4 linked regions of the Neodiprion lecontei genome follow. The protein of the gene in region 2 interacts with the protein of the main gene of each other region in a biochemical or structural test. Links are inferred from orthologs where the notes say so. Each region holds a gene or a part of one and is shown on either strand. Other genes may lie near its edges.

Region 1 (5,796 bases), on a different chromosome or scaffold from region 2:
GATGTTCTTCTCAGCCTTGGTCCGATGTGCAGAAATCCGTTTGACTTGATTCCTATGCTCAGAGTATTAGCTGGAAAGAATGCCAGTATGCTTAATCTAGATAGTAAAGTGGATCTTTCCAAATTGAAGGTACGAATATATTATTCCTATTTGAAAAGCGCGTTTTTATTGAATAGGTTTATATCTTAGGAAAATTAATAATAGTTAATGAAACATCATTTTTGTCCAATTGCTACTGTATTCTCTCCAAATGTATGGAATTAACAAAGAATACGTTCAAAGAACTGTTATCGAATTTCAAACATTTGATAATCTAAGTCCATCATTTTCAGATTTATTATATGGAAGATGATGGTGGGCAGCTATTGGTGAGCCCAGTTGAGCCTGAAATAAAAAAGGCAATGTATCGCGTCATTGATTACTTCGCCAGAGTTCACAAGGTGAAGGCAAAAAAAGTAGATTTAAAAAAGATGAAAAAGAGTACTGACCTTTGGTTGGCAAACATGAGTACAAAGGATGCGAGAGGATTTGCATATGAATTGTCCAACCGGACAGGAGTGCTGAATATATGGTGGAAGTTGGCTCAATGGTTCACCTTTATGGGCCCTCATACATTGATCGCATTGATCACTGTACTAGTTGAAAGTTTCGGAATTAAATTCGGGAGCGAAAAACATACGAAACTTATTCAGCAAAGTAGAGATCTTTATCTAGAGTTTAAGGTACAGGACGTTAAGAGTTAATCATTTTAAAATTTCATCCGATTTCCGAACTTTCTCTTCATTAATCATGTAACATTCAAACCTCAATATCACCTTTTTTCAGGACATGCTAGACGACGGCGGCATATTTTTATATCCCACACATCCCACCGCAGCGCCGATGCATCATGAGCCACTGATCAAACCATTTAATTTTTCTTATACTGCAATTATCAACGTCTTGGGTGTGCCTTCAACAGCTTGCCCATTGGGTCTTAATCAAAACGGTCTTCCCATTGGTATACAGGTAATGTATCACATTAAAATCACTGAATTTTTTAGGATTAATTATAAATAAAGGTTCAATTTTCAATCCTGTTGGCGATTTTACTGTATTATCTGTGTTGTGTGTTTCAGGTTATTGGCGGCATGTATCAAGATCATTTAACCCTTGCTGTCGCGGAAGAAATTGGACGAGCATTTGGTGGGTGGGTTCCGCCGCCGCTTATCGAAAACGGTGCGACGATCGAAGTTCCAACAGATATTGCACTGTATACATGATCGTAAAAGCGGCGTGAACAGTAATACATTTTTTATTTGAAATTTTCCTTTTTTTCAACAATATTACAAAACGAAAATAAACTTATTCAAAGAATGTATTCTAAAGACGTAACACAGTACATTGCCATTGAATACCTCGATTCTTGAAACAAAGTATGAAATCTACCTATATTAGCAACAGGCCTAAACAAAAGATTTTCCAGTCTGAGGATACTAATATCTATTGTAATATTCCAAGTATTCTACAAAGCTAAGATAATATTTATATATATATATATATATATATTTATGTACCGAATAAATCAATTTTTATTCATACGAAAATAATGCAACTATTCAGTTCACCATCGCAGTTATCTGTCGATCTATGATTCGTCGTTTCTCAAATAATTAATCAGTTTTATCAAGTGTTTCCGCTTTCCATTAACCAATGCTTCAAGGCCTAAAAAGTCACATCCTTTAACTTGTGACTTTGAGGCTGCGTGAATGGCAACTAACTCCGTAGTGCATAAAACATATAGTCCACAGTCATAGCCATTACTTTGCTGTGGTGTATCAACTTCAAGGTATGATCCCAATCTCTTTATGCCAAAGTAGTCTGCAATACTTGTTGCAAAATTTCTTGCAACTTGACTGTTCATACCTTTAGATGAGTCAAAGTGAAAGCATATCCTTTCCAGCTTAGAATATACAAGTAAGCTCCAATGGGTGCCACCAGGACTTTCCTTATCGTCGCAGTTATTTAATGGAAAGAATATGAATGATCTTGACTTTGCTCTAATGGGTTCTAACAGCATGCCATAATCCGAGGGGTCTGTGAGTTTCAGCAGTTGAGTTAATTCTGGGCTAACGAATAATAAACCTTCGGACTGCTCATGCATTTTCTCACCCAGGTATTCAAAGTAAAATCCAATAACTGCATCATTAATCCAATGTGGCCCTTGCAGGAGCTGCACGTCAGTCTCTCTTAGCAAGCTGTCTCGATAGCTCAAGACAATGCTGTTACTCTTGTCAGTTTTCTTAGACATTTTCAATATTGGTAGCAAATTATCAGATTGCAACTCACCGCCGTACTACCAACCCAATGTCTTACGTTTCGCAGGAATGTTTAACCTATAAATCAGTGATGTGGAGTTCATGGTTAATAAGAGATAATAAGCTAGAAGCATGAATGAAGACTTATATCAGTATACTTGTAAGGTATTCAAACATGAAATCAAAATTGTCATACTGCATTACGCAATTGTCAATCATAATTCAAAACAGCACTGATAACATTGTGGTTCTGAGAAATAAGTTACCAAAAATAATGTGGAGACCGATTCAACCCGCTGTTTAACAGGTACTCATCGCTGAGATAGCCTTAATTAGTCTGTTTGACATCTGTTCACGTATTCATTAAAGTGGATAGGACAATGCACTTTAGTATTGTATGCATGATTGTATGTATTGTACTTTTATGTTGACCTTGGGATTTGTTGACTATGGACAGCACACGCAACTTTGTTTACTGGACCTCACTCATGACTGACCAGACAAATGGTGGCGAGTAGCGAAAATCACGAATAGCGCTGACATATCACAAAAATTCATGTAGTAAATAGATCATGGTAAATGGCATGTAAATAAAAATTTAAGTGATTACAGACTATGTTGCAGAGACCACTTTGGTCTAATCTAAGCGTTAACACCGAGGCGAGCCGTCGAGCTTCTTTATCGACAATTTTTTTACACGGCTGACTCAACATGGCCACGTATCACGATGGCCGACCTAAACAAAGAGTTGAATGAATATCTTCTCAGCAGTAAAAATGAAAAGCAATTCAAAATTGGTATACCCTCGGTATCGATACCGAAACCGTCTTTGGGAAAATGGCTAGGAAGAGGGGAAGAGGAGCCGCAAGAGGAGGCTGGATGGTTCAAAGAGACTAAGAAGGACTGCTGTCCCAGCATGGTCGGTATCACGGTCTTTCGTCATAACCTAGAAATATCATATTTTGAGCCACAGGTTCGATGCAGATATGTGAGAAATTTCACTAAAATTAGCCATTCATATGGCCCAGCAGTATATCGACTATTTTTCATCATTCTTTATCAATCGGATGCATTGTATCACAACTTGAAGCATTCAGTCTTTCTCAGAACTTATTCGCCAATTCCTTATTTTAGACAAGACTGCAACGACTGACTGCCTTTGCTGTATGCTTCTTCATGGGAGTTCTGTGCTTCTGTTTGTCTGCAATCTACATTCCTGTGCTGCTGCTGAAAGCAAGAAAATTTGCATTACTCTACTCCCTAGGAAGCCTGTTCTTTCTGATGAGGTATTGTTTTGTCATTTGAAGTCTTAAGCGATGCTATGCTCAATTTTACCTGAAGTTAATATTTAATTTTCCAGTTTTTAAATGAGCATAGCATTGCTTTGCAAACTTAAATAGGACAATCTTCTCATTTATTGTCTTCTTTCAGCTTCTGCTTCTTATGGGGTCCAATGAGTTATCTGCGATCGCTTTTCACCGCAGAAAGAAGGTGCTTCACTATTTCATACTTTACAACGCTGATCGGCACCCTTTACTTCGCGTTGCATTTACAGTCGACACCGTTCACAGTTCTGTGCGCGGTAATGCAGCTGATAGCCATGCTGTCTTTTTTGGTTAGCCATATTCCGGGCGGTACATCAGGACTCATGTTTTTCACAAGGATGTTCAAATCTTCTGTTAGCTCAACTCTGCCCGTATGAGTGTCGATGAATTTTGTGGTTCAAAAAGGATAAGGTGGCTGTCAAACCAGAGTCTGTAATGAGTTGGAAAACGTATTACAAGTCTAGATGATTCTTTATGCTCAATTCAGACTCAATTCAGCACTGCGTCCTTTCTTCGATATCCGTTTATTTATGTGTTCACATAAGTATAGGATCATACTGTTATTAAATTATGTCAAGTATTTATATTTGGATTCGATCGTTCAATAAGAATTTTAGCTTAAATTGGATGACATGGTAGACAAGGACCCACTATATTCACCAAAGAGGAAATAACTTCTGACGAGAGATTGTGTGAATTTACATTCCTTGTAACTAGGCATAAGTTAGCAAAAGCATCAAAAATTAATAACTACCAATTTTCCGCAGTTACAATTGAAAATCAACTCTGAAATGTTTACTACACCAATTATTATCTCATCACGAGGTTGTAATTACGCATACGCTTCATTCGCGAATTATAAACGAGTGTGGAATGACAAACAACCACACACGATTTTGTATTCTCACAATACGTAGTCTATAAAGTTTATTTCAACAGTTTATTTGTTAAAAAAAAAAAAAAATTTAATCAGTATCTCATAGTTATTCATCTGATTGCGCGTAATCCTCAACTTATAATTCCTGTAGTTAGCCTGTAATTATATGCAATATGCTCAAATCCACAGTGACTCAAATAGCGATAGTGTCAATTTATATTGCTGACAATACTCGAACGTCAGTGCAGAGTTGTTGACTGAAGATATACTCTTCCGTCAACAACAGATTGCTTAAAGATTTCGAACATTTTTTTGCAGCTCAATAATCTTGACTCAGTTGTTTAACAATATCATGTAAAGTGAATGGGATATTTTATCAATTAGATATTTCGTAAAATGAATTTGAACTTGTTCTGCAAATCCTCTTATAAACATTTGCAGTAAGTGGGTCGGGAGGGTCGGAAGCGAGTCGTTCAAAATAAGGCGGAGAGTGCGTCACGCGAGACGTTGGCTTTAAGTTACATATATCGATTGCTGAAAATCGAATTTGAGGGCAATTCGATACATTCGAGTGTTGACGTCACGCGAGCGTGATTAACTGTCATTACTCACTTCTTGCCCTTTGGGTGCGAGGGAAGTTGATTCATCCGGCATCTGAGTTATTGTGTCTAATTTTGGAATCAGATCTTTATTAGTAATTAAACTGCTAGTGGTGGTTGATTGTTTAATTCGCTATCTGAAACAGCGGGCGATGGCTAACAACGGTAATTATCAACGAATTGGTATATCGGGCATTATGAGTAACGATATTTTCACAAGTTACATTAAGGTTATGTTATGGTTACGGTTATGTTTGTTACACAGACAAGGAACACGGCGAGGCGTCCGGTGAGGAGGATTCCGAAAAAGAGGTGCCGGAAATCGAGGATGAAAAACCGGGGGAAATATTGATTATCGATCCGGATACCGAGGTTAGTCAGGTTTACTTCTTAGAACATATACTGAGGCTTACTTTTAAATTACTCTGGCAACGCTGCCCATCCGCCGTTGGCGTCTCGATGTTTATTGGCTGAAAATATGTTTGACGTTGCGAATCGTTTAAAGTAAATTGGAAAATTGGGGCATCATATGCAATTACAAAACCAGCTTCGTCTCACTACCCTCGTTATTGCATTCATTTAACACAATGCCGACTCTGTTTCTTTGAACATTCGTTTTTGAGGTTATGAATGGAACAAATGTTCTAACCATCAACAGCTGAGCCAATTAAAACTCATATTTCATACCCGCCACAGAA
Region 2 (9,845 bases):
TTTGTCAGTTTAAATAATACGGCGCATCGCAGTATTAACTAATCCCATGGACTTAGTGCTGTGTACACACCATTCATTTTTACATTCCTCAATTTTCAGTTATCTCACGTTCAAGTATGGTTAAACAATTGAGAATATCCTTACTAATTTAACTAGATCAAATCAAATATTATTTCATTGACGACCCAAATTGTACCTGCTATGTTACCTACTTACATATCATCCTAAAAATTGAATCTAACTACCGCGTATCGTTTAATTATGGTTGCAAATTACGATAAAACATCAGTGCGTACTTATTTATTTATTTGCTAAGGACATTTCTTTCTTTCTTCTCTCTTTCTGTTTCATCGCCGTCTTGTTTAGAATCTGATAAAACGTCTCTAAATCGTATCTCGCATGACTTCCATTTGGATTTTGCAATACTTTCCATTTCCCCAGAACAGGCGAAATTCGATTACAATCCAACAACTTCCTCACAAAAATCTTATTACGGTCCTTAAGCATTACACGATGATCATAATGAAACGAAAGAAAAACCATCGCAAAATAAAGATAAATTTCTTTGCGCAACCCTAGAAGATTAGAAAAAAAAAAATCACAATAACAACAGGAGGATTTGTGGCTATTAAAATTCGAATACACTACAATAAAATATTTTATTAACATTACGTAATTATCGATCAATCAAGAACAAAGTAGAATAAAAATCAGAAAAAAAAATAATTACAATTATGCCAAGAAAATATCTGTAATCCTTCATCTTGAATATGATCCATGAAGTTTTCTCAAACCAAAGAAGTTCACATGTTTACCTTTTGGTGGGAAAAAAAAAAAAAAAAAAAAAAAAAAGAAAACCGGTAACGCACAGCGAGCTTACAATCAATTTACAACAACAGTGATAAAAAACGTTGTTCGTAAATTACCAAGGATTGTTTGATAACAAAACGAGAAAAAAAACAGGTGCCCGATATGATGCAAGTATTTATCAAAATTATCTATAGATAGAAGATGCGTTTCGAGTCTGTTCAGCTAGTTAATTTAACAGGTGTACGCATCTAATAAAATATAAAAAAATACTGAATACATAGGAAAAAAAATCACGCGTGTCTCGAAGATTACGACACGAGCAAACAATCATAAAATTTAACGTAGAAGCAAAATTGCATTTGCTCCTTCTTCCATAAACAATACAAATCGATAATTGGTACTTAAATTGTTCATTTAATTTTAAACCACAAGGTTTGTTCTCCGGCTGTCATTAGTTGCAAATTACGTTTATAACCGAATAAATTTGAACTATGAAAGAAATTTATTAATAATATTTTATAAAATCCATGTTTCTTTCTTTTTTTCTCTCTTCCTTCTTTTTCTTCATTTTTGCTAAATGCGATCGGTCGGACAATTATTTCATACAGGGCCGAAAGGAGGGGAGGGGGCTTATGTTGTATACAAGAACTTTGTGTGCGACGTAAATAATAAATATTGTAACGTAGATACAACAGCAGCAGCAACAATGACAGATGCGTACGGCAGAAGTTGTTTCTCCTGTTTTAAACAGCTGCTACTTTGTTGTCTCACTTAGGCAGATCATGCCAGGTAACTGTACGTATCCTTTTGTCCTTCCGTACGTTCTAGATATTCCTTTTCTATTAAAATGTCTATACATTTCTGCGAATGAGAGAAATCAAAGAAATGAGCGAGAAGATGATAAGCTGTGTACATCCGTCAAAGAAGATTGTATATTGAAAATTTACAAATCCTTGAAATCAACTTAACCCTCACCTTAATAACGTGCACCCTCGGTTTGAATCTCGCACTGAGCTGGTTTAGTACTTCGGCGACGAGTTGCTGGTGCTTTAGGATCTTACGCATTTTCATAATTCTTACAATCGCGGCTTGAATTAACAGCTTGCGATCTTCTTCTATGTGCTTGTGGGTCGTTTCCTGTTCAACCTTCAATTCCGTCTTCATTGGTATGTTGATATTTACCCTTAATTTTTTGCTGCAATTAAAATTATTCGATAGTTGGTCAATAATGAGTTCTAAGCCTTCAAGTTTTACATGTGAAAAAGTACGAGATTTACGAATTCTGGACAATAAGGTGAAGGAGAAATGTATTCACTCACTTTTTATATGCTGCAAATAGTTCGATGGTTGACGATGGAGTTAAATTAGTTTCATCTTCGTGTGCAGGGACAGTTAAAAGCTTCGCTTTCAACAAAATCTGTATAACCTGTGTTACAAATAAGAAATAAAGCAATTAAAAAGATGGAGCAAAGCACGATAAGTCAGGAAATTTATTTAAAAAAATCTATGACGTTAAGGACCTGCACAAGAAAATCCATTTTGATTTGCGTTGCGTCATGAAGTTGTTGCATGGTCCAAAGTGTAGCCACATTATACTGCAATAGAACCGCCATTTGGAAGGTCGAAGCTTGCAGAGTATACCTGTAAATAAAAAACGAAATTAGCAGAGATTGAGAATTATTATAAAAAAGAAAAAGAAAAAACAAAGCCAGCGATGCAAGAGATTAACAATAAATTTTCACCTGTTCTTAAAACAGTTTGTGTGCAATTCCCCTTTGGACATGTTGTACAACCAATTCAATTTTCTCCCACTGTGCTGAGAACTATAGAAAGTGGTAAACCTGTGCACAGATCTTTCCAGCTGCGAAACAAAACCAAATGCGTTGCATAGATTGTTCGGGACACGTACATTATTACCTAAGTATGCAAAAAGAACTAGTACCTCTGTGGGTAGAGAAAATGTAAAAGATTGCTGGAACGGCCAGGAACCGGACGACAGCACCTGTATACTAAAATCGATGTCCAGAAGTTCCGTAGAATTTATCAAATGCCTTCGAAATTGTTCGTTCAAGTCTTTCGACACTCCGATATCCTACAGGACGATAAATTTTCAATAAAACAAGGTAAAATAGTAAAAAGTGGAATATAATCTGTCAACGTGATTACGTATAGATACCTGGAACATGCGCTGTAGTTTAGAAGTGTATTCGAATCCGCAAGCTTGTTTCAGCTTTGAAATCATTGACGCTTCAGCGTCGTCGCTGGCAGACATGTGCTGCACGAGCCGTTTGGCAAGCATTTTACTGTAGAATTTTTGGAATACATCTTTGTCTTCGATATATTTGAAAACTACCATCTACACGAAGAAAGAACATTATTTTAACCTCGCTGTTTCATTTGATGATAAGATCGCGAGTTAGATGATGTTACACTTTGCTATTAGTTAGATAAAACTTACAACTTGATTAAGTGTATCTTCGAGCTCTGCCTCTTCCGGATTCTTACTGCTCTTCTTGAGTAAAAGGTCGCAGTACTTGGCCAAGAGTTCTGGCGATTTGCTACTGCTATTAGCAGCTCGTGTAATAGAGTTGCTGTTAATGAACCGTCCGCAAGCTTTGTCCAGAGCAGCGACAAATCCACTATCATTATTAAACGCAACCAATACCAGCGCATTATACTTCTTGTGAACTTCCAAGATAGTGCTCACATATATTTTAGGATCCTGCACTAACAACATGGTAAGTATAAAGTTCTGAAAAATAATTTCCATAACCGTACATAGTAATGATTAATAAGCTCAGTTTCATGATTCTCTCAATATTTGTTTTCTTTTTCTTTCTTGCAATATAAATCCAGGTAATCGTAAGTCGCTTCTAAGAAAGAGACAAATAGCAACACTCGTTCATCAAACATTTTCCTATCGAAAGACCCGAAACTTGATGGCTAATTTCGTGCAGTTATTAAAGTTTGATCGGTAAATTTACATACGTTAACCGCAAAGTCGCCGCACTTGTCGATAGCAGCTAATCCCTGACTAGCTATGTGACTTTCGAGAAGATTGCGAAGCTCCCCAAGACCATTCGGTATCCTGGCGACAAGCATGTACATTCGACCCAAATCGACATTTTTATCAGCGTCCAAAAGATTTTGGAATTCTGCATGAAATATGTCCAAATGTTTCTCGATGAGGACCTTTTCGCAGGTTTTTGCTAGACGCTCATGTGTCGTCTGGTGCAAATACACCCTGACTCTTTTCTCTTCCTCCAGGAGCCTCTGCTCAGCCTGTGAAAAACGAAAATATTTGTATGAACATCCCACTCCTTCTTCTTGGCGTTAGTTTCGCTATATGTTCGTCAAACACCTTCTTCATATACTCTGTGACAGGATTATGTCGTAGGAATTCAGTGCTTTCGCGTGTATAAAAGCGTTCAGTGTCATCAAGAAAAACATTCTCAAACGAGTCCTTGTAGACGGACAAATTCTGCCCTTTGGCGCCCGGATCCTCCTCATTTAGACCCAGCTCAACATAGCAATTAATCACTCCGCTGACAAGACTTGTGTTTATAGTCTCACCGTTTCTCTCTCGTTCTATAAGTTTGAGCACCGCGTTGGTTACCTGATAAGTAGTGGAGAAAAGTGGGTAATTTGACATCGAAAATACGCTGATTCACCTCATTTGTTTTACCTGCTTGTTCAAATGTTTGAATAAATTATCCCTCCATGTGACCAACGCCAGCTGATAGATCTCACAAATTCCTTTTCGACCTTCCTCGCACTCTCGCCTCACCCAGTGACGGTTTAAATACGCACAGACCCCGTTCAGGACTTTGCTGCTGAATTGATACTCGTCCCATTGTCGAGTGTAAAACTTCAGCACATCCTCATCCATCAGGTCGACTCCATGCTAAACGAGGATTGAAATCAGGCATTGAATATCGCAAGAATAGAGCAAGAGAAAACTGGATAAGGATAACTAATCGGCGTCTCGCACCTTCAGTAAACTGATGAGATAATTCCGCAGAAAGTCTCGCAAACGTTTGTACAATTCCAGCCCAACTAACTGAGCGCCGCCCGATATTTGACCCTTCTTACTTTTCATCGACGTCCTGTTGTTCAACTGCTGATGTACACTCGTGCAATAGTTATACACGTGTCTGTGTTTTTTCACATCAGTTTTACAGTTAAGCATAAAATACATTATGTAAAATTTTTGATAGATTCTTTTTTAGGTATCACAAGCTGAGTGTCAAAAACATTTTGAAATATGTCTTTCAAGTCAATTGTTGATATCTAAGGATACGTATAGAGCTCCATGTATCTTGGCTTGGGCATGCATTGCCGGTTGTAAACCTGCTCGATGCCTTCTCTCAGGTCGCCCCAAATCTGGTCGAGATCTATTTGCTTGAGACCCTGAGGACCAGTAGGATGGCTTCCGGTGCCACCGGTACTTCTGTGTCCAGACATTTTATTCCCAAATTAATGTCTGACCAGCCTCACTCTAATTACCTGCTACTTGAATAACTCTGGAAATGAAATAAGAAATGCCACACGTTCTTTTGTAATACTCAACTGTGACTGGCGATACTAATAATTTGATGGAGATAAAAATCGCACGGCAATACAAAGAAAGATGTTATGTTGGTGCTATTATTTGTGGTAAAATTATGTATTCCAGCCGCAGAGGGCTTATCTAGATTTCTGAACACGCTGTTTCAAATAAATACAATAGATTCCAGATGAACGAGGGACTGGTTATCCGCAGATAAGATGCGCATACATAGATACGATTGACGTGTGAAATGTGGGAGAAGAGTTTTGTTGTGCCAATCTTAATATCTCAAACAATCTTCTTTGTTTGAGGGTTCTTTCTTGTCATGTAATTCATTCGTTAATATTTTTGTTGAAATATACGTCTTAGAGGTTTGAGAATCGTTTTTAAAAATGTTACAGCTCCAAATCGGCTGTGTGTAGCAAATAAAAGCCTAGTTATATGTTTAGATTGGAATCCAAAATTCGAAGACTATCAGACCAATCAACGGTTCTGCTAATATTTACCAGAAGATACTGTAGTGTGACCGAAACGCGGATTAACTCGTTAACGGAAATGTGAATCCGAACATAAAATGCAGAGCAATGGTGACAGAAGGGGGTTAATTCCGTTAGCGAGCAAATGGTAACTGGGGTAACCCGATTATGCGATAGAAAGAAACGGTGAAAGAATAATGCGAGAAGTGAAGAAGAAAACAAAAAGAACTAAGAAATTGATACTACGCTTGGTAAAATTTTTGCGAAAAATACAAAGCAAGAAGTGGATTCGGTCGATAGAACGAAACGTAAGAACCTACGCGAAAGGTCCCATTGTCTCTCCTCAATGCCATTTGAAACGAAGGAAACAACATTTTTTTTTCTTCCTCTCTTTCTCAAACTAGAAATCTTATCTCGGAGACAAGGAAGGTTTACTCACCTGGCGCTAAGTCACCACCGCATAACAATATGTGAGCCTTGCGTTGAAAAGCGAAATATCGTGGATTTGGTGCGTCTGGTTGGAAAGCACGGACGAGAATTTGAACCACTATATATGTATACACGAAAGAGGATTGAATATCTGTCTGAACGAATACGCAGTACGTGTGGGTTAACAAGTCGGTTATGATACTGAGTGTGCTCCGTGCTTTTCTCCGTTTTCTGACAGGTTAAGTCACACTGCAGCCAACTTCAAGACTCTCGGCTCGCTACAGAGAATCTGAGATCACTAGATTATCCTTGGGACAGAGAGCTTGGGATATCCTCGGCTGGCGTTGAGCTGGCCGTTCGTTGTTTTCGATCGAGGGTGACTGCGGTCATCGGACTATTCGACGCGCGTTCGACTTCCAGTTATTCACTTTTACCCACTAATTATTATGTGTTCTGTATTCAGTATTTATCGTTCAAGACGCCGAACTTGCGCGACTCTGGTGGCTACCCAATTATAATGACGATAATGATGGCGCAAAATTTTCAATCGATCTTATATAATTACTCAATTTTCTTTGTATCGGCTGCGAACTGCATACCGTCATTATAAATAAACGCGAAACCTCAGGATAAAAACGCAAACGGACAATTTGTAGCACAGCGGTTTCGACCTGTTCTCAACTACGTTAACTCGGAAGAATATTCGCCTAAATGTTCATTTGCATTCACCTACGTCATCGCGTGATCCGTTCCACCATGTTGTCTAACAAGGTCGAACGCAGCGCATGCGGAAAGTTCTCGAATTATGAGTCACTCTTCTTGGCCGACTGAGCTGAGCTCTCTCGATAACTTCAGCCTGGTCGTAGATAATCAAAAGTCGTAACTCGGTGTTCGATACTTGTGCATGCGCTGAACCTCTGCTTGTGTGTTATGCATGCATAGGCTAACACACTTCTCTAAACTTAAACGCACCATATGCACCATATATGCACTCACAGACCCTGTATCAGTAATTGCCGTCGGCAATTTCTCCCCTCATTGCATTCATGCTGAATAATCCGCTTCTCAATGTCCAGTGACCAAGTAACGAATCATTTATTATGCACATACAAGGGCAAATAAACATCCACACAAACTGATCATTCACGGTCGCGTTGGTGCGGGGCGGGAGGCAGGAGAAAGAAAAATAAACTACTGGTAAAAAAACTGAGCAAACTTAATCTCTCGCCGAGAATTGGGGAGGAAAAAATCGAATAAGTATTTTGGATAGCTTCGAGCTTGTCAGTGAGGCTAATGAAGTCAAAGCGAAAAGGAGAGAGCAATCATAGCATCGAATGACAACATGCTGTAATGACAGAACCTGACATTGCGCTAAGCAAAGCTGCAGCCTGCTGTCGTCGACACGCGTTACGTACTTCACCAGTCGTGTCTGAACAAAAACGGGATAAATAATGTGAAGATTAATCGTTATTAGGATAATTATTACTGGCTTATATTGTGACAGTATTAAATGCCGATTAATGTCAGCTGAATACAGAAATACGGTAAATATATCTTGACTTAATTCCAGTCTATGTATTGGTTAGTTTACCTAGCACTTGTACAAATAATAATCATTTGTCGAGAAGATAAACGTGGCACTAAGCCGTCAAAGAGCTGTTCTCGGATAACGTATCTGTAGACGTGGTTTCGCTATTACGAATTTTCCTCAAAGTTTTGGAAAGTCACTCGTCCCTTAATTTCTGCTACTCCGATAGAAAAATTTGAAAAGAAAAAACATCTGAAACGTAAACACCAAAGGTAATAAGCAATAACAATTGTCCGGACACAGTTAAAAAATTCTTTTTGACAGAGAGCATTTTTTACCTGATATTGTGTGCGAATTTGCTAAACGTGAAATCGATCGTAACAAAATTTTAATCGAGCCTAACAATTTCCGGAGGAATGATATTTTATGTCATAATTTCACAAGCTTGAGATGAGTATCTGCATTGGATAAGTTCTTATCACTGAATGGGAATAAACATCACAAACCGAATGTAGTCTGATAATGAATGATAATGCTCTATGAACACGGAAATATTTAACATTCACATTATCCTCCATTCGATTTTTTTGTCACAGTTAATCACAGAATTGATAACCTTTTGATATCTCGACAGTGATACATCCATCATCACAAATTATACATATACATATATAATGTGTTAATGAAATACATTCGCAGATGAGGTGACGTTCGGTGGTGCCATGCGGAAAAAATCAATCAGCTTCATATTCGCATCTCTCTGCGTATGGGGTGTCATAACTTACTTTCTATTTCTTGATCGTCCAATCGGCAAAGAACAAAATAAGGTGAATATCAAGTGTTGATTCCGTGCACGAATTGATAATGAAACTCTGGAAATACACCCCTGATATTGATGACTAAAAATTATTCCCAACTCCAAAATTACAGGGCAACATCGCAGCGAAAATTCGTGATATCGAAGAAAGAGTGAAAGAGCAATTTGCGGAGAATAAAAAACTCATTCAACATCTTCGTGGTAAATTACAGGATCAGAGTAAGCCTCATTTTGAATTGGAATTATTACGGTCAATTGAAGCTCCATCGATTTATTGACGTTCGTGATTTTCAGACGAAGCAGAAAACGCGGAGTCTACTGTCGTGAAGAATGCAGAAGAGGCGCAAAACGCCGAACGAGACAAACTAGAAGCCGCCGAAGAGGATTTGAAAATAGTGAGTTTTTTGTCGTAAGACATTTGAAGGGTCCAGGGGAAAAACTGCTATAGTCCACTCATTCTGATATCAAGAAAAATGGAAATGAATGTTTCCTTTTCCGTAAGAGTACATTCGGTATCGATTCTACTGGCAGGTTTTTCGAGGTGTAATACTGAATTTCTCATCCAACAGTGGTATTTTCGGAAAGTACTCTTTAATGCAATAATAATGGTATCGCTATATCATTTTCAACGAGCGATGAAATATAGCTGTTTCCCCTCTTCACCCTTCATTTCCTAGTTTTCAAACGACTTTATATTCACTATTCAGCAGGTAGACGAAGCTCAGCATGTTGCACCAGAAAAATCACTGACAAATGAGGAACCCGTGATTGCAGTTCTAGTATTTTCATGCAACAGAGTTACTGTGAAGAGATGTCTCGATCAGCTGATCAGACTGAGGCCAAGCGCCGAACAATTTCCGATCATTGTCAGCCAGGACTGCGAACACGAACCGACTACGAATGTGATTCAAAGTTATGGAGAACAACTGACGCACATAAGAGTAAGCTGGTTTATTACCCATCTCAAACTTCAGCCATCCCGAATTTTCGATAATGTACTTGAATCAAACTCCTTCGTCTTTTAAGCAACCAGACCAATCGGACATAGACATTCCTCCAAAAGAGAAAAAATTCAAAGGCTATTTCAAGATAGCTCGACACTACGGCTGGGCATTAAATCAAGTCTTCTTAGAGTTCGGATTTGAGACCGCGATCATCGTTGAAGGTAAGGAGAAGAATCTGGATGCAGCGAAATTTCGTTTCTATGAAAACAAGTTTACTCTGAATCTCATGGAT
Region 3 (9,881 bases), on a different chromosome or scaffold from region 2:
CACTGAATAGAAAGACAAAAAATACACCCACAATTCTGTGCATCATGTTTTTGTTTACAGAACTATGAAAAAATTAGCAAATAAATTTATAGGTATCGGCTAACTCATCCTTACCATAGTGACTGGAGGTTCGAAGAGCTTATCTCCCTCAACTTCCATCCAGGTCATTTCGATGGCACCAGGTGAGCCCGGAGAGCAAGGGGTGAGAAGGTCATCGACAATTATTGTTGGATCTTTCGGAGAAGGTCCGCGCACTTTTTTGAAATGGGTGGCCGTTTGAACTTGCCTCACAGGCTGCATAAGTGCGTCACGAACAATAATGCTTATGTCAGCTCCCGAGTAGCCATCAGTTGCGGCTGCTAATTTCTTAAAATCATCCTCGGACAGGACGTGAGCGGTATTACCAAGGTGAAGTTTGAACATAACCATACGAGCATGCTCTTCTGGAAGGGGAATATAAATTCGCTTCTCAAAACGTCTTCTGATTGCAGAGTCCAATACCCAGGGTATATTGGTTGCACCGAGAACAAGAATTCCCTCGTTGTCAGTCCCAACACCTAGAAGAAAAACAAAGGGTGCGTTACATTCAAACCCTGAATGAAACTGGGAAAACTGAGCTCTTTGAATTTTATCTTCACACCTTGCATTTGAACTAGAAATTCGGTTTTTATTCTGCGAGCAGATTCAGATTCGTTGTCTGATCTTGAGGAGCAGAGAGAATCTACCTCATCAATAAATATTATACTAGGCTTGCGTTGGCGTGCCAATTCGAATAGATTCTTCACTAGCTTCTCAGATTCTCCGAGCCACTTACTGACCAGGTCTGATGAAGATACAGACAAGAAAGTGGAGTTGTTTGCTTCAGTTGCTACTGCTTTTGCTAGATACGATTTACCAGTACCAGGAGGCTGGAATAAATATAAACATATATAGTGGGAATACATAACAAATGATACAAAAATATACATATAACATAAATTGAAGGGTTTTGGGTCTGAAACTTACGCCAAAGAGCAGAATGCCTTTCCATGGGATACGTTTCCCAGTAAACAGATGTGGGAAACGAATGGGCAAGATAACAGCCTCTTTTAGAGCTTCCTTAGCAAGGTCCAACCCTGCGACATCACTCCACTTTACTTGTGGTTTCTCAATTACTATTGCCCCTTCCAATTTGCTTTGTAATTTCTTTTTTTCTGGATCGCTGTCACTGTCGCTATCCCCACTGTCACCCTTTTTATCATCGCTTTTAGAATTACTCTCTCCATCTTTGACCGGTTTCTTTTTTCCCTTCTTTAGATATTCCTTCAGCTTCTCAGCTCGGTCCAGGTATTGTAAACACTTTGTCCTAATGCTTTCCTTGGCCCGTTCTCCCTGAGCCTCATCTGAAAACAAGTTTGATTGGTGAAATGAAGCGAAGTTGAATGAAGTGAACATTGAATAAAGTGTTTGCATTTTGAAAACAAAGTCAACAAATATGTATTTGAGAAAACTTATTCATGCCACAGAAGTGAATTGGAAGAAGAATCGAGAGTCTGAGGCATGTAAATACTGATGATGTGTACATTTGATTGAATGAAGAAAGTATTCAACGCCGTGTTCATAGTGCTTCAGAGCCTCTTCATAGTTTTTGTTCCGATCTTCCTCGGTGGCCTTGGTAACCAGGTCTATGGCTTTCTGTATTTATACGGGTAGAAAACGAGAATAATTGGTCAATTGAAAATATCCAGGCTTAAAATTTGAGGAAACCTTCCCAATAGTTAGTACCTGTAATGTTGTTCCTGCTGCCATTTTATTGTGAAATGGCTCCTCCCTAACCTTAGCTCACCAGAGTGAAGTATGCGGAATTCAAGAAAGTCTTGAACTGATGATATTAATGCTGTTTTATACACGTGCAAAAAAAGCTCAGTTATCCATAAATAAATTATCGAACGCACGTTGCGTAAACTGCCTCGATCGCTCTCGATTGGAGAAGTTTGCTGTTCTGTCAAATTTTTAACCTTCAAAATTTAGGTCTCTGACGTCACTGACGGTGACTCCTACTCTACCATTACCATGACCCTACCACCGCTGCATCGGGACTATCAAGGCAAAAAAAACCTTGGGCGATCTCATTTGAACGCAGCTTTGGCGTCCTCTCACGGAGTTCCGGGTGAACTAGTCGTGTAGAGATGTGGAAATGAGCACTGATCTCGTGAGCCCCAAATCATAAACCGACACTAGCGCTACAATACCCGAAGTTAAACTAACGGGTCACCCGGGTGATAGTCTATCAGAAACAGATTTAGTCACATGGTCTTGTCACTTTAACCAATGACATACGCAATAAACCACGTGATTCGTTAGTTCCACTAAGGCTATTGAGGCGCTGGTATCGATTTCGTCTGCTTCTGATCGAATCAAAAGGGCCTAGGTCGCTAGTCACTAGTCAGCCATCCAGTTAGTACAGAGATCAGTGGAAACGCGGCTAGAGTGTGTTGAGAACGTGGTCTTTTAACCGAAGTAAACGCATGTGCAAAGGCATCGTGCGAAGCACGGAGTTCGAAGGGAACAACTTCGGTTCGTCGATGGATCCTACGCCGTGTTTATCAGCGTTTATTGTTTTTATTTGCAGAGTTTAGTGGTGGAATAATAATTGTGGGGAATAAATTTGCGAGATTATAACCTAACCGAGGTGTACCATACGAGAAATGCGTGCCGTGTGTAGTTGATAGAAAATTAATTACAACCCCGAACAAGTTGGGACGTCTCGCGCGAGGCGAGACACTGAATAAACCCGTACCGCTGAAGGAAGGCAGAGAAGTGGAAATCAGTCGACCATGTATGAACCTATTTGATTTTTTCCACACTTCTTTCACCGCCGTTTTGCATCTAGCCATTTTATCGAGTGGTAAATCGCTCCCTGCTTCCCAGGGTGTGGCAAACCGGCCCTTTGTTACATTTTCTCTTAAAGGCTATCTTCAAAATGGCAAGTTCTACTTGTGCTCTTTTTCAAGGTTAGGGTTTACCTCAATTGTAGTTCGAATTATCATCCGTGTATTTCATCCGTGTGATTTTTATCACACACCTCAATTCACCTCTCTTACCATTTTCACATATTTTCTTTAACCTCCATTAAAATCTAATTCAATTCATTAATACCTCCGACTGATTATTATTATGTATCAATTGCTTTCATTTCATTTCGAACCAATATCATGACCATACTTGTCGTCGATCACAGGTGTAGCATAAACAAGTTTCTTTTCATAACTGTGGCTCAAATTAGGAGCAATATTGCAAATTGGAAGCTTTTCATTTTTAATAGCAGTGATTTGGAGCTCTTAACTTTCATTTAATATTTACTCTATCTCAAAGAATTCTCTAGCGGCAGTGGCTGTGCAAAATTAGCTCGATATGTTATTTTAGTATGAAACATCTTTTTACCGTCCAAACATTACACAGCAAAAGATTAATATGACGACTGTTTGACCTAGAGAATCTCACTCCAATATAATGCTTTCAATTTTCTGGGCCTGTGATAACGCCAGAACTCAGTGATGTCTACCCCTTCGTCGTCGTCCAAGGCGTTAGGAGGAGAAAAACCAGGAGGTACAAGCCCTAGTCCCGTTGAAGGTGTTGAAGGTGTTCCAGGACCAAGTACACTAGATCCTCTGCAATCCGCACTTGTGCACGATGGGGAGTCTGAGGATTATGGAGAAGAAGGCGAGGAAGAAGAAGAGGATAGTATGGATGAAGAAAGCGAGGTAGATAAGAGAAGAGCATTGTAAATACAAAAGTATGTTGTCGTTACTCTGCTTATTTAAAACTTTCTTTTCATCAATGTTCAGACAAGTGATGGGGGCATGTATTGCGATGCCGAATGTGGAGAAGAGAATGATGCCAACGACTGCCATTCGTTATCGTTGCAATCATCGCCGACATTACCACCGAGACCTCTTAGTCCCATACTTCACACATGTGTTCCACTAGACGCAGTACAGCCTCAGAGGAAACGTAAAAGCGAAGCTGAGTCTACACTGCCCTGTAAAAAGCTTAACCCAGAGGAAAAGACTTATATTATGTGAGTAGTTTGAACTTGTTACATTTTTTGTTTTTTTGAAATTCAATATGGTACATACAATTGTTTAACAATGCCAATTTGCTTGCAACAGGGAGATATAATTGTGTTAGATCATTGTAAACTATTTTTAATTTTAACTAATTTTGTAGGGTTGTGAAACGGGTTGACGACAAAGGGAAGCATGTGAGAAGCATCATTCCGACCCGAGACAATCCCCCACCTGAAATGAGCAGTTGGTTATTACAGTTTCAGGTAAGTGGTGAAGACTGTGGAGTTTATGTTATTAATGACAATTGACCTTTGAGTAAAATAAATTGTTACAGAGATGGTCAAATGCAGAAAGGATGTTGGCTATTGATGAGCTAATAGAAAGATGCGAACCAACCCAAGTTCGGCATATGATGCAAGTCATCGAACCACAATTTCAGAGGGACTTTATTTCGTTACTCCCTAAAGAGTTGGCATTGTCAGTCTTAGCCTTCTTAGAACCAAGAGATTTATTGCGAGCCGCGCAAACATGCAGAAATTGGCGCTTTCTTGCAGATGACAATCTATTGTGGAAAGAAAAATGCCGAGCAACCGGGATAGAAGACCTTAAAGATCTACCTACGCCAAAACGTAAAAATAGTCGAAATTCAAATAGTTGCTCCTCGCCATGGAAGCAGGCGTATATGAGGCAGCATAACATAAAAATGAATTGGAGAACTAAACCGATTCGTACACCCAAAGTCTTAAAGGGTCACGACGATCATGTCATTACCTGTCTCCAGTTTTCTGGCAATCGAATTGTCAGTGGCTCAGACGACAATACCCTCAAAGTTTGGTCTGCTGTTACAGGAAAGGTAATTCAAATGTTTTAAACTCTATTTCCCGTACTTTGTAACAATTTTAAATTATTCTTTGTCAAGTACCTACTTTATAAAATACTGTATTCGGTAAAATTCATATGATTATTTTGTTAGACCCAAGTATTCTGTACGATTTTGTTATAAATTACAAAATTTTATGTTTGATATTGTATCACATCCTATCTAGTCCTATGTTGAATGTTGCGATATTACTTTGTTTAAAAATACTGGGATTTTTTCACATTCATTTCTATTGCACCATTTTTAAAGCATCTAAATAATGTTCATAGACGTACCCGCTATGAAATAAGAACATTGCTCCATATAAAACACGCAGAAGCAAGCACCCTCGATATAAAAATAAAACCACATCAATTTTATGTCAACAGTGTTTAAGAACACTGGTTGGGCATACGGGTGGTGTCTGGTCCTCACAGATGTCTGGTACTACAGTAATCAGTGGGAGCACAGACCGCACCTTAAAGGTTTGGAACGCAGAGACGGGCCAGTGCATACATACGCTTTACGGTCACACATCGACAGTAAGGTGTATGCACCTCCATGGCAACAAGGTGGTCAGTGGCAGCAGAGACGCTACACTAAGGGTGTGGCAAGTTGATACAGGGGAGTGTCTCCATGTTTTGGTCGGACATCTCGCAGCTGTTAGATGCGTGCAATATGATGGAAAACTCGTGGTCAGTGGGGCTTATGACTATATGGTCAAAGTATGGAATCCTGAACGAGAAGAGTGCCTTCACACACTGCAAGGACATACCAATCGCGTTTATTCCCTTCAAGTAAGAGCTTTTGGAAGAAATCATTGCAGTTTAACTTTATGTAATAGGTGTAATATTTAGTATTATTATCCGAAACAATTTAAAATGTTCTTAGCAAATAGCTGCTGCGGTATAATTACATCATTTAATAGTAATTGCTATTTCCTCTTGTCTCGTTTAGTTTGACGGTATCCATGTGGTGAGTGGATCGTTGGACACGAGCATTAGGGTATGGGAAGTTGAGACGGGAGCGTGTAGGCACACCCTGATGGGTCATCAGTCTCTTACTTCGGGCATGGAGCTCCGTAACAATATTCTTGTATCTGGTAATGCCGATTCTACAGTCAAAGTTTGGGATATTGTTAGTGGGCATTGTCTGCAAACTCTTTCCGGGCCAAACAAACATCAATCCGCAGTTACCTGTCTGCAGTTTAACAGTCACTTTGTGATTACATCCTCTGATGACGGGACTGTCAAACTGTGGGATGTTAAGACTGGTGGGTCTCATCTCTTTGCTCAAAGCAATGTCACAATATCAGAGCTACCGCATTGGAACCGAACTGTAAAATGATATTTGTTTTAAAACGTGATTTTAGGAGACTTCATAAGAAATCTTGTGGCTCTGGAGAGTGGGGGTAGTGGAGGTGTAGTTTGGAGAATTCGAGCAAGCGATACGAAGCTGGTGTGTGCCGTGGGCAGTCGTAATGGTACCGAGGAAACCAAACTGCTGGTTCTTGACTTTGACGTAGAGGCCAAATAGTCTTCCCGTCTTTGGGCGAGACGACGCCTCTATGTGACTTCTGTACATACTATAATTAGGTAGCATAACCAATCTACTGTACAATGTTCATGTATTACATGGTGTGATTGTGATAAGACTGCATGAAATTATTGTGAAGGGAGTTCTAAAATGAGCGTTAGGTTCTTCACAATGAATATTTGTTGATTGTGGGTCGTACGTACTGCAAAGTACAAATATAAAATTCAAATCTTACGGCAAATTGCGGAATATTAGGAGCTATCGAAGTTATTACGCAATTGTTGGACAATTCAGGATAAATCTTATCAACGGATTCATACTGTTCTGAAAGAATTCAATTATTGGCATGTACATATTATGTCCTAAGAGGAAGCAAGATCTTAAAGGTTTACTGCGCTAATCAGCTCAGTTTATAGAACAATTTACAGAATTACCCCGTGCTGAGAAATCGCTGTAATCAAAATTTCCATTCACACAGAGCTGAGCTGTGCCCCATTTATTTGAATTGAAATAAAGTTGATTTCGTTTCTTCTCACAACTCAATGTGAAACTTGTGCAACTCATCAAAACTTTAACGTAAAACCTAGTTTTTTTTGTTTTTTTTTATCGAATCATTGAAGAAATATCGTAAGGAATTAAAATTAGCGACTTTGTATGTACAAAGTTTGGCATTTTTTCTCTAGATTGACTTCTTCGCTCTTATCATATATATGATGGAACAAAACCACTTACTCGTTCGATAGTAATAAATGGGACACAGTGCACTTGACAAGTCCGCAAAAACTGCCCTGAGATCTAGTATGTCACGTTAACATACGTTAAGTTGAACTAAAGTACAACGAAAATAATGGCCAGAAATATTAAAAAACAGTACGAAAACATTCTAAAAAAAAAATTAAAGGTCTTTGCTATTCGCCGATTCACTTTTTCTTCACCGGGCAACCGCAGCAGCGCAAAATTTGTTACAATATATCAGTTTCAAATATACGAGACTTACCTGATGTTATCTGGGTATTTAGAATGCTATGCCGGGTTGAAAAGTCATATTTTATCGCACAAAATATATGTATATATATTTATGAAATATATATATATATTTTGTTCCCACGTATCATCCTCAGATAGGAATAGGTCGAGAATTGGTGCATATATACATATATACATACATACATATATATATATATATGTATGTATGTATGTATGTATGTATCAAAATTGAATCAATAACGCATATCTTCTGGACCTTGTGATCTTCAATGATAAGATTATAGCATGAGTACAACAAAATGCATGATTTGTGTGCTAGAATTTGACTTGGAATTAATAATGTGGACACTCAGAAAGCAAACATTTTTCAATCTATGCCAGTAAAGCAATAATTGTTGATTGATTTTTTTTTTTCCTCCTTTGTCTTTATAAATTCTGTTGAATTATTTTGAACGAAAGTGGAAACGAGTGAATGATTAGGGCATTATTATTTTCGAAAGAATTATAGATTTCGTTAATTTTATCAATTACTATTTATTGCTGTTAAATTAATTCGCATCGGGATCTAGGTATTGAATACGGCGATTGTTAATTTGAAAGAGAATATTCCTCTTGTGAATATCGCCTGGAAGAATAAAAAGAATTTTTTTTAATCTTGTAGAAATTTATTGTTTCATTTGTATTTACATTTGGAAAATGCCGTGCTAGAAATAATATTAGTATTTTACAATCAACGATGATCTCTTAAATGGATCAAATTGCACAGCAATACCTACGACTAACATACTATTTATCAAAGAAGATTTAAAAAAACCGTCGGGTTCTACAGGCATTTAGAATCTACCTTCTAGCCATCCCTAGATTATTATATTAAATCTTGTCACGTATCTTATGCGCATAAAATTGACTGATTAGTAATTCCTTGGCTGCTAAAAGTTCATAATTACCGTATTGAGTGAGACATGTTCATAACACGAATCGAACACGGCGTACACTCCAGCCTATACTTTATATTTAAGATGGATCCCAGCTAATTCAAAGTTACTTAAACAGAAAATAGAAAATAAAATTCGGATTCAACGGAATCTATGAAGGATCTGTAATGCTTTTGTTGAACATGTGATCGTCCGTTACGGAAGATTACGTGCTTTACACACTATCACAATTTGAATAAATTTCGTTGCTATTGCCCTGGCACAACAGAAAGCGAGGCGAGCATAAAGTCAATAATAACTAACATAATCAAAGAATTACACTTCTCGTCATGTACGTTTCTATTGTTAATATTATTATTACTGAGACTTGCACGCAATTTTAATTCAATTCTGTTTTTGAATAATGAGATCCTAATGTATGTGCCTAAATTAATGAGAAGCATTAGGAGTTGAAAAAAAAAAAATTTCGGTAAATTTTCTATGTACAATGAATGAGTACATGTATATCGTATATTTTCATTGAAATGAGAAAGAAACTGCGGGTAAAAAATTATTGATAGGTGGCGAATATTGTTGTGTAGTGGAATGTAGATTTGATTTGCATATAACTTGCTAAAAGAAAAATTACCAATTTTTTAGGGTTGAATTTCGTATTTCACAAAAATGTGTTAGTATTATATGACTGAGGTGTAAATCTATAATGAGCGTTGGAAGAATTCATTATCAATATTGGATTTCTTTTCTTACAGTAATATCGTTTTCATAATTCTTTAAAGAGCGTACAGCTAGGATGAAATTGAATTATTCATATTATGTACAAGATAAAAAATTGAAACATCATTCAATTACCGAGTAATACATAATAGAAAAATAACGATTAATCAGTGGGACAGTACGTGAGTTTTACGACCATAAACAATTTCGGCACGATTAACAGTGAACATTTATTCAAGAAGGAAACAAATTTGAGCTCGCCATATATTAATATTCTGGTGAGATGTCTTATAATGTATAATTGCTGCATAAGCTGCAAGCATTTACCACAATTCGTGCCTATTTCTCATTAATATAATGCAAAAAAAATTATATGGCGATGTATTGGGGGAATTAACTTGAGGATAAGATCTGCGGAGGGGCAATTAAAAGCAAATGTCATTAAAATTTAGGATTGTAATTAACGTAATTCGTGGATTTACCTAAGACAAGAGGTACTATATTATATATTAGCATTTGTGCGAGAATTTCTTCTAGTATTGAGCAACTACTGTGAACCGAACAAATATTAACGATCATAATAATAACAATTCTCAATCATCATTCTCTACAATACTTTACAAATGTTTAAACTATATGTATATGTTTGTGTTTTAAAAACGGTTATTCAAATCGTATCATGGCTATGAGTTCGGCAGCTTTTTACTCGAGCTTAACAATTATTTGATAATTGTTTTTTTGTGCTAAAATTGTAATTATGTATCTCTTAAATGATAAATCCATGTACGAACTAGTTAATTG
Region 4 (6,440 bases), about 10 Mb from region 2:
ATTTTTGTATTAAGTTGAAATAGTCAAGACTTTATATTTCAACGAACATTTGGCATTTTTACATGAAGATAATTCATGGTATATATTTATTTTCATGAAATAAAAGCATACGTAGCATTAAAGAGTGTGAACTAGTTTTGTACTTGATTATTGAAAAAATTTTACATTTTTCGTCAAATTAACACAAGCGCAAGTTCTAATTATAACATACGTACTTCTTTGTACGTCTTTGCTTTATACAGATGTAGTACATGATGGCTAGAATATTTGCTTTGGAGCAGTATCAATGAAAAAAATCAGTAAAATTCTGCTAACTAAGCCATTAAAACCCTGACATTTCTATCATTTTACCAGATTGTCTTAAATTCCTGGACATTTCCCGACTCTAGACACTTTGACGTTTGATGGGTGAAAAAAGGTGCAAAGCAGAAGCGAAATATATTCAGTTAAGACGTATTATGAACAAAGTCAACGCACCCTTGAATCTGGTGATAAGTGCTGGGGAAACAACTTTGTATAATTCAGGGAGCAATTCACGCCTGGTCGAAACAACAGCCTCAAGACACTTTGCTGCCGCTCTGCGTACTTTCCAGCTCATATCATCATCATCTGAGTACTCATCTTCTCCGTCTTCTTCACCATCCTCCTCAGTTTCCATAACTACCCAATCTCCATCCGATTGTTCACTCAGATCATCATCATAATTATAATTTGGATCATATGTTATATAAGACAAACAAATCTCGATGATCTGAAATTGGTTTTCAAGTTTTAACAAATCTGAGTTAACCACTTTGCAGTCATTTGATTAATTACAGTGTTTATAGACATGACAATGAATGTTTTATGGCATATTGAAAGTGATGAAAAATTAGCTGAAACTAAAATGAATATCTCTTCCTTTTCACAATAAAAAGGATTATTTTTCCCTAACCCGTTCAGTAAAATATTTATGATATCGGGATATTTGGTATATATAAAACGAAAGTTACACTTCTTTCATTGCCATTGCCATTTTGAAATCGTATTCATCTTAATTCTGTCCTGCTACTAGTCGTTAAATTCATCAAAAGCTGTTGAAGCATGAAAAATTCGACAGTAAATGAGTAAGGAATAGTGTTAATGCCCTGTGGATGCCAGAATTTTCTGAATATTTCATCCAATGAAGTTCCATGACTATTTCCTCGTTTATCGCCTCATGGATAAAGATAATTGACAAAAAATGAATTGTATTTGATTATTTCGCCTATCGTATTTGAACTACGATAGATCATGAGATTCAAAAATTCTTGAACACAGGGTCAGTTACTTCAACAAAATATTCTCTGTGCACATATATCGATGGTCATTGGTGATATCAAATATAAAAAAGACCTATAATACCTTGTTTATGTGTGGAGTAATCTCGTTTGGACAGCGATATACAAAAGATTCGAATGCTTGGAGACAGTACTCTCTTAGTTCATCGTCATCCTCGTTACTGTACTGTACAATGAATGGCATCACTCTTTCGATTTGTTCTCCAAATCTGTGGCCTGCTTGACGGCTGTAACGATGCGAATACGTTGAAACATGGAAATTGCGTTATACATTAAATCTTTACCGAAAGGCACAGTAAAAAAATGTATACTTTAGAATAGTGAAAATGTACTAACCAGATCGAGGCAATGCATTGTATGTAAGTTCGAATAACATTCTTAACTTTTTGAGACGTGAGTCCATCCAAAAGATGGTCCAAAAGTTTGTTATACAAATGATTGTTGCTCGATGTGACGAGGTGACTGAGAGCTACAATAGTGCGCTTTCTTACAGCCTGTCGTGGAGAAGACAGCTGTGGTAACAGAGCTGCTAAAATTGTCGGATGAAAAGTTAGCAGGAGAGCTCCGAATCGAGATAACAAGTCTGCAAGGATGTCAAGAGCCTCGAGTTGTACAGGTACATCTTCTTGCTAGAATAAAGTTTGGAGTATTAAGCGGAACATATTTCAAAGAGACAATATTTCTGTACTTGGATTAGTCAAATCACTAATCCAATAATATTTTCACTACTATTTACCTTTTCAATAGCATTACTAAGGCGACCTGTGATCCTCTTGCAAACATTAGCTGCGAGTGCATTTGATCCTAACGGCAGCTCCGAAATAACGGTTTTTAAACCTATACTCGATATATCCCTGAGTTGTTCTTTATCAGATAACATATTGGCACAGAGAGCGTCGACAATTGTCTCCACTTGATATTCCTTCACTTTGTTGACCAAAGGACCCAAACTGAAAGTAAAGAAAATGTAAATTTCTACAAGATTTCTATTATTATTACGATCTACAGTTTTGACTTGATTTAATTTCAGTATCGCTTTATTTTCTCATTCAAACGTCTTCATGCCAAATTTCTATCAAATTGTGTCGGAATTAAACTATTGTAATTAAAATATCAATTTCGGTTGTTTCGTTATCTTATTAGTTGGTTGTGAATTATAATAATTTTATGTGAATTGAGATCGATTGAGTGGAATGGATTTTTATTCAGTCCATGACTGATATTATCAAAGACATACCATTTAACGGCAAGATTTTGCACTTCTCCATTTTTATCCTCCAACAATCTGAGAAGCATTTTGACAACTTTTCGTTCTGATTCATCATCAAGTTTTATACTATCTTTTTGTAATTCAGTCATTAGATCGTTCGTTGCCATAAATCTAAAATCCTTGTCGCTGGATGTCATCTAAAACAAAAATTAATATAGACCTATATATCTCACAATAGGAAGCATCAATATCAATTGACCCGATATCGAAACGACCCATGACTTGACATATTACAATGTCACTCGTGTATAGTATAAAGAATCAAAACAATTCTAGATAAATAAATTTAATTATGTAAAATGCCTTATCAGGTATGAGACCCCTAAATGGATAATGTAAGAAAGTCATTCGGATTTTCAACAGTGAACAGACAATTAATTTGAGTTATATACATATCTTGTCTTGTGCACTAATAGAGTCAAAGAAATAAATTGTAAAATTCATTATGGATTACACAATATTTTAACTGGTTAAAGTTTACTGTTTTCATAAAGAACATTTTCCACCACAGCTTTCCCAGACTAATGTTTTAAGAGTATGACTAGAATCTTTAGCCTATAATGATCGATGATTGAGGTTTAATAAAGATAGTATGCTGGTATAAACTGTAATAGCCCAAGTAAAATATCGAGTTTCTGACAAATCCCCTGTTTTTACAATTCAGTGTGTGTACTTGATGTTCGAATTAAGTTCAAGTAGCAGCTATTCTTACGGCAAGGTTCGCAAGTGACCATTTGTTCGATTTCAGAGCCTAAAATGAAGATAAAATACCTTCAACCATACAACCAGTGGTTATTTGTGAATCTTCCTGTATTAATAACAACTATTCGAAGTCAGCTTAAAAATGAAGTGTGAAAGTCGACCAATAACCTTAAGTAGATTGAGAGAGTTCGTTGCGTCTTATCCAATGATGATATTTATTCATTAAAGAAATAGTTGAAATTTAATTCTGAAACGATTGAGTATTATAACGATATTTTTCAAAATTATTGACTCATAAGGTATTGGTCCTCTTTGTTTTGGAAAACTTGACGTACAGAGAATTAGAATAACATGTTTAAACAGGAAGTTTGATGTATATTATCTACGTAATGTAATAATTTATTAATGATAAAAGACGCAACTGATTTCACGAATTGCTCTGATAGCCTGGAAATAATAAATTCCAATGACTATAGCAAATGAATTAATAGGTTAAGTAACGAGAGTTTTATCTCCATTGCATGACAAGTTGATTTGGTTACTGGCGAATTATTGCATAAATTGTAACAAAAGTAGTTTATTATTTGTAGAAGTATATTCATGTATCACCTTTTCCAGCAAATTTGCTATTTGATACGAAACGCTAGCCATGGTAATGGGTAAAAATGTCCACAGCCGGCCGAATTATTGTTTATATCGCGGCACGGTACCGATAATGAAATGCAAGTATTGAAATAGTCAACTCGTGTGTTAAACCGTGCCGTCAAGACACAAGATTTATATTACTCTTAACTTTCCGTGGTGAGTCAAAAATCACCATAAAAAATATTTCTATTGAGATACCACGGTAAGCAACATTTCCACCCTCTGTACGAAGTACTGTGAAGTGCCGAAACGTGACGGTTAATACCGCGGACGTAGGAAATGTTAATACTGAATACGTGTTCTAAAGCTCATCAGGCAGAACGTTGTAGTAAATAGACGGCCAGCTCGGAAGTGATTTTTTTTATGAGGCAACAAAGGGTTTGACCACAGACTTAATTTTGATTGTGAATCCGAATGTAGCTGACGCAACAGTCAGGGTTTGTAAGCTGCCCGCCGCAGAGTGAAGTTTACGAACACTCTAGTCGGTGGACCGCCGGACCAAATAGACATTACGAATGCACCCTAAATCATAGGAAAAGTCTGCATTGAATGCAATTTCTCTAATTTTCTAGCCTTTCCATGGCTGAACCGCAAAGTATTGTTCGCTCATTGCGTTGCATCCACAGATCTCTATGCATGCGCACCGCCCATGTACCGCCGGCTTACCGACCACGCGCCACGAAAATTAGTTACAAAAATTTATTACGTGTCAGAGGGCGCTACTAGATCGAGAACAAGAAAAACCTGAGCGTGCCCGAGCGTAGGCTCTCTCAGTTCCTTTTCTGCTTCAGTCGTGGTCTGTCCCTACTCCGCCGTCAAAAACCGGTGAAGCTGTTACCTTTTGTACCAAAGTGCCAGCATGCCAGTTATGTAGTGAAAAATAGTTGAAAATTCGCAAGGTGGTCGTGCAGGTTATAATTGTGGTTTAGTTGACGAGGCTAGTATGAGGCTAGTTTTGTTCAAAGTTACGATTGTGTAGTAGTAACTAGTACCCGGTGGCACGTGCGCTGCATGGATTGGCTGTTGTCATTAATAAATTCTTCATAACGTATAACGTAAAAACTAAACTTATTTTCAAAGGTACCGTATTTGTTCTAACAGACTTATCTTGGCATATTAGCAATTTGATATAAAATTGAAAGTTTCGCCAATATTTGAAAGTATTTTTATTTTCCCAGGCTAAATTTTCTTAGTTACTTCTCAATTATTTCATTTAAACGTTATTTATATAAATAATAAAATCCAGAAATATGAGGATGTATGGCTCTATCATGTTCCAAAGAAGAAACGGAAGTTATTGCTTCCTTAAATTTTGATAAGCTTAATTATATCAGGCACTTTCTTTATACCTAATCTATGACCAAATTTATTCGAAAATGTGTCATGACTACATATTGCAAGGTGTGATGAGTAATACTTATACATCTCCCATAAAATTAACTCTATGTTAATGTTTGGTTCAGAATAATGTGCTATTAAGCATTTTTAATTAAATTGCTTTTAATTTGCGATATATCGGGTCTCTGCAGTCAATGCAACTGAAATTGCTTAAATAAAGAAATAACGTTTGTGAGAAGCTCGCTTATTATCTTTTCCATGTAATTTTCATGAAATTAATATTCCTGTGATTTTGTAGCAATCGTGCCAGACAGATTTTAGGTATTTAGTTGAATAATTTCTAATGCTGAGGTTTTAACTTTACAGATGTGGGTTTTTATACTTTGGTACTCATTCGTATTATGCTTAAACCAAATTACTGCGGATAAACAAGTCAATAAATATGTAACAACGTTAATCGATGCCAAGTGGAAAGAGACGCCTCTGATACTAGAGGTAGCGGAGTATCTCAGTGATGAAAGTCATGACTACTTCTGGGGATTTGTCGATGAAATATCGAGCAGTTCATATTTGCTGCCACCAAATGGTAAGTTGATTTAAATGTAATTTCAACTACATGTTAAATTTATTATCAAATATAATTCTAACATTTCTATATTATAGAACAACATGACGTAATGGTTGTAAATAGTAAAATTGAAAAATTACATGTTCTCTGTAATTAAAGACAACTACTCAGCCATGAGCAAACTGATTAACATCCGTAACTTGACTTCCTGCAAAAAACACCCTGAATTTCTCTACGTGTACAAATTATTTAATTATCTGATTAACTTTTTATATATACCCATCATCGTGTAGCCTCCATCTTTCTTGTCATTTTCTTGAGAAGGAACTGTAATATCATGAATATCCCTCAAACTGGAAGCAACCTGCATGTTAAATCTGTTGCTGCAAAAATGATCAAATTTACAATTCAAATCTCTTCATCGCATTATATTTATAGCCATGGAAAGAGATGCATACAATGTCGCTATCACAGCTACGAAAAAGTTCTTAACTCCAGCTGAAATAGCTGTGCTTAAGCTAGGACTCTCCCTGAGAACATATTCATCGCGAGTTGAAATGTTCAATCAAATGGCAGAGAATAGAAACGTTTCGCATCT

The links.
Region 1: of the proteins of cullin-1 (region 2) and sentrin-specific protease 8, one has a biochemical effect on the other in vitro, tested with the Homo sapiens proteins (2 studies listed by BioGRID). The link is inferred for Neodiprion lecontei from reciprocal best matches to the Homo sapiens genes CUL1 and SENP8.
Region 3: the proteins of cullin-1 (region 2) and F-box/WD repeat-containing protein 7 form a complex in vitro, tested with the Homo sapiens proteins (3 studies listed by BioGRID). The link is inferred for Neodiprion lecontei from reciprocal best matches to the Homo sapiens genes CUL1 and FBXW7.
Region 4: the proteins of cullin-1 (region 2) and cullin-associated NEDD8-dissociated protein 1 form a complex in vitro, tested with the Homo sapiens proteins (6 studies listed by BioGRID and IntAct). The link is inferred for Neodiprion lecontei from reciprocal best matches to the Homo sapiens genes CUL1 and CAND1.

Annotation. Positions count from the first base shown.
Region 1 is NC_060260.1:34,564,315-34,570,110, reverse strand, and holds sentrin-specific protease 8, read right to left. Parts: upstream 2,852-5,796; 5' UTR 2,730-2,851; intron 2,706-2,729; exon of another isoform or gene 2,564-2,705; intron 2,376-2,563; 5' UTR 2,291-2,375; coding exon 1,628-2,290; 3' UTR 1,326-1,627; downstream 1-1,325. Other genes in the region: fatty-acid amide hydrolase 2-A, read left to right, coding at 1-129, 333-722, 826-1,008, 1,119-1,262; protein transport protein SFT2, read left to right, coding at 3,025-3,216, 3,432-3,583, 3,729-3,999; protein phosphatase 1 regulatory subunit 7, read left to right, coding at 5,251-5,281, 5,364-5,470. UniProt on the Homo sapiens protein: Protease that catalyzes two essential functions in the NEDD8 pathway: processing of full-length NEDD8 to its mature form and deconjugation of NEDD8 from targeted proteins such as cullins or p53.
Region 2 is NC_060263.1:15,794,649-15,804,493, forward strand, and holds cullin-1, read right to left. Parts: upstream 6,962-9,845; 5' UTR 6,275-6,961; intron 6,114-6,274; exon of another isoform or gene 5,866-6,113; intron 5,334-5,865; 5' UTR 5,275-5,333; coding exon 5,111-5,274; intron 4,965-5,110; coding exon 4,802-4,964; intron 4,715-4,801; coding exon 4,496-4,714; intron 4,427-4,495; coding exon 4,172-4,426; intron 4,093-4,171; coding exon 3,799-4,092; intron 3,563-3,798; coding exon 3,269-3,562; intron 3,167-3,268; coding exon 2,987-3,166; intron 2,903-2,986; coding exon 2,753-2,902; intron 2,672-2,752; coding exon 2,553-2,671; intron 2,452-2,552; coding exon 2,331-2,451; intron 2,237-2,330; coding exon 2,130-2,236; intron 2,006-2,129; coding exon 1,786-2,005; intron 1,672-1,785; coding exon 1,591-1,671; 3' UTR 1,290-1,590; downstream 1-1,289. Other genes in the region: alpha-1,3-mannosyl-glycoprotein 2-beta-N-acetylglucosaminyltransferase, read left to right, coding at 8,515-8,619, 8,723-8,828, 8,904-9,004, 9,317-9,550, 9,636-9,774. UniProt on the Homo sapiens protein: Core component of multiple cullin-RING-based SCF (SKP1-CUL1-F-box protein) E3 ubiquitin-protein ligase complexes, which mediate the ubiquitination of proteins involved in cell cycle progression, signal transduction and transcription.
Region 3 is NC_060261.1:2,646,925-2,656,805, reverse strand, and holds the start of F-box/WD repeat-containing protein 7, read left to right. Parts: upstream 1-2,503; 5' UTR 2,504-2,818; intron 2,819-3,473; 5' UTR 3,474-3,536; coding exon 3,537-3,743; intron 3,744-3,827; coding exon 3,828-4,060; intron 4,061-4,209; coding exon 4,210-4,312; intron 4,313-4,383; coding exon 4,384-4,902; intron 4,903-5,297; coding exon 5,298-5,705; intron 5,706-5,865; coding exon 5,866-6,181; intron 6,182-6,280; coding exon 6,281-6,444; 3' UTR 6,445-9,881. Other genes in the region: vacuolar protein sorting-associated protein 4, read right to left, coding at 115-557, 641-908, 1,006-1,382, 1,563-1,674, 1,765-1,788. UniProt on the Homo sapiens protein: Substrate recognition component of a SCF (SKP1-CUL1-F-box protein) E3 ubiquitin-protein ligase complex which mediates the ubiquitination and subsequent proteasomal degradation of target proteins.
Region 4 is NC_060263.1:25,786,538-25,792,977, forward strand, and holds the start of cullin-associated NEDD8-dissociated protein 1, read right to left. Parts: upstream 4,241-6,440; 5' UTR 3,943-4,240; coding exon 3,901-3,942; intron 2,727-3,900; coding exon 2,557-2,726; intron 2,270-2,556; coding exon 2,056-2,269; intron 1,949-2,055; coding exon 1,656-1,948; intron 1,547-1,655; coding exon 1,384-1,546; intron 752-1,383; coding exon 478-751; intron 1-477. Other genes in the region: UDP-glucose:glycoprotein glucosyltransferase, read left to right, coding at 5,641-5,860, 6,281-6,440. UniProt on the Homo sapiens protein: Key assembly factor of SCF (SKP1-CUL1-F-box protein) E3 ubiquitin ligase complexes that promotes the exchange of the substrate-recognition F-box subunit in SCF complexes, thereby playing a key role in the cellular repertoire of SCF complexes.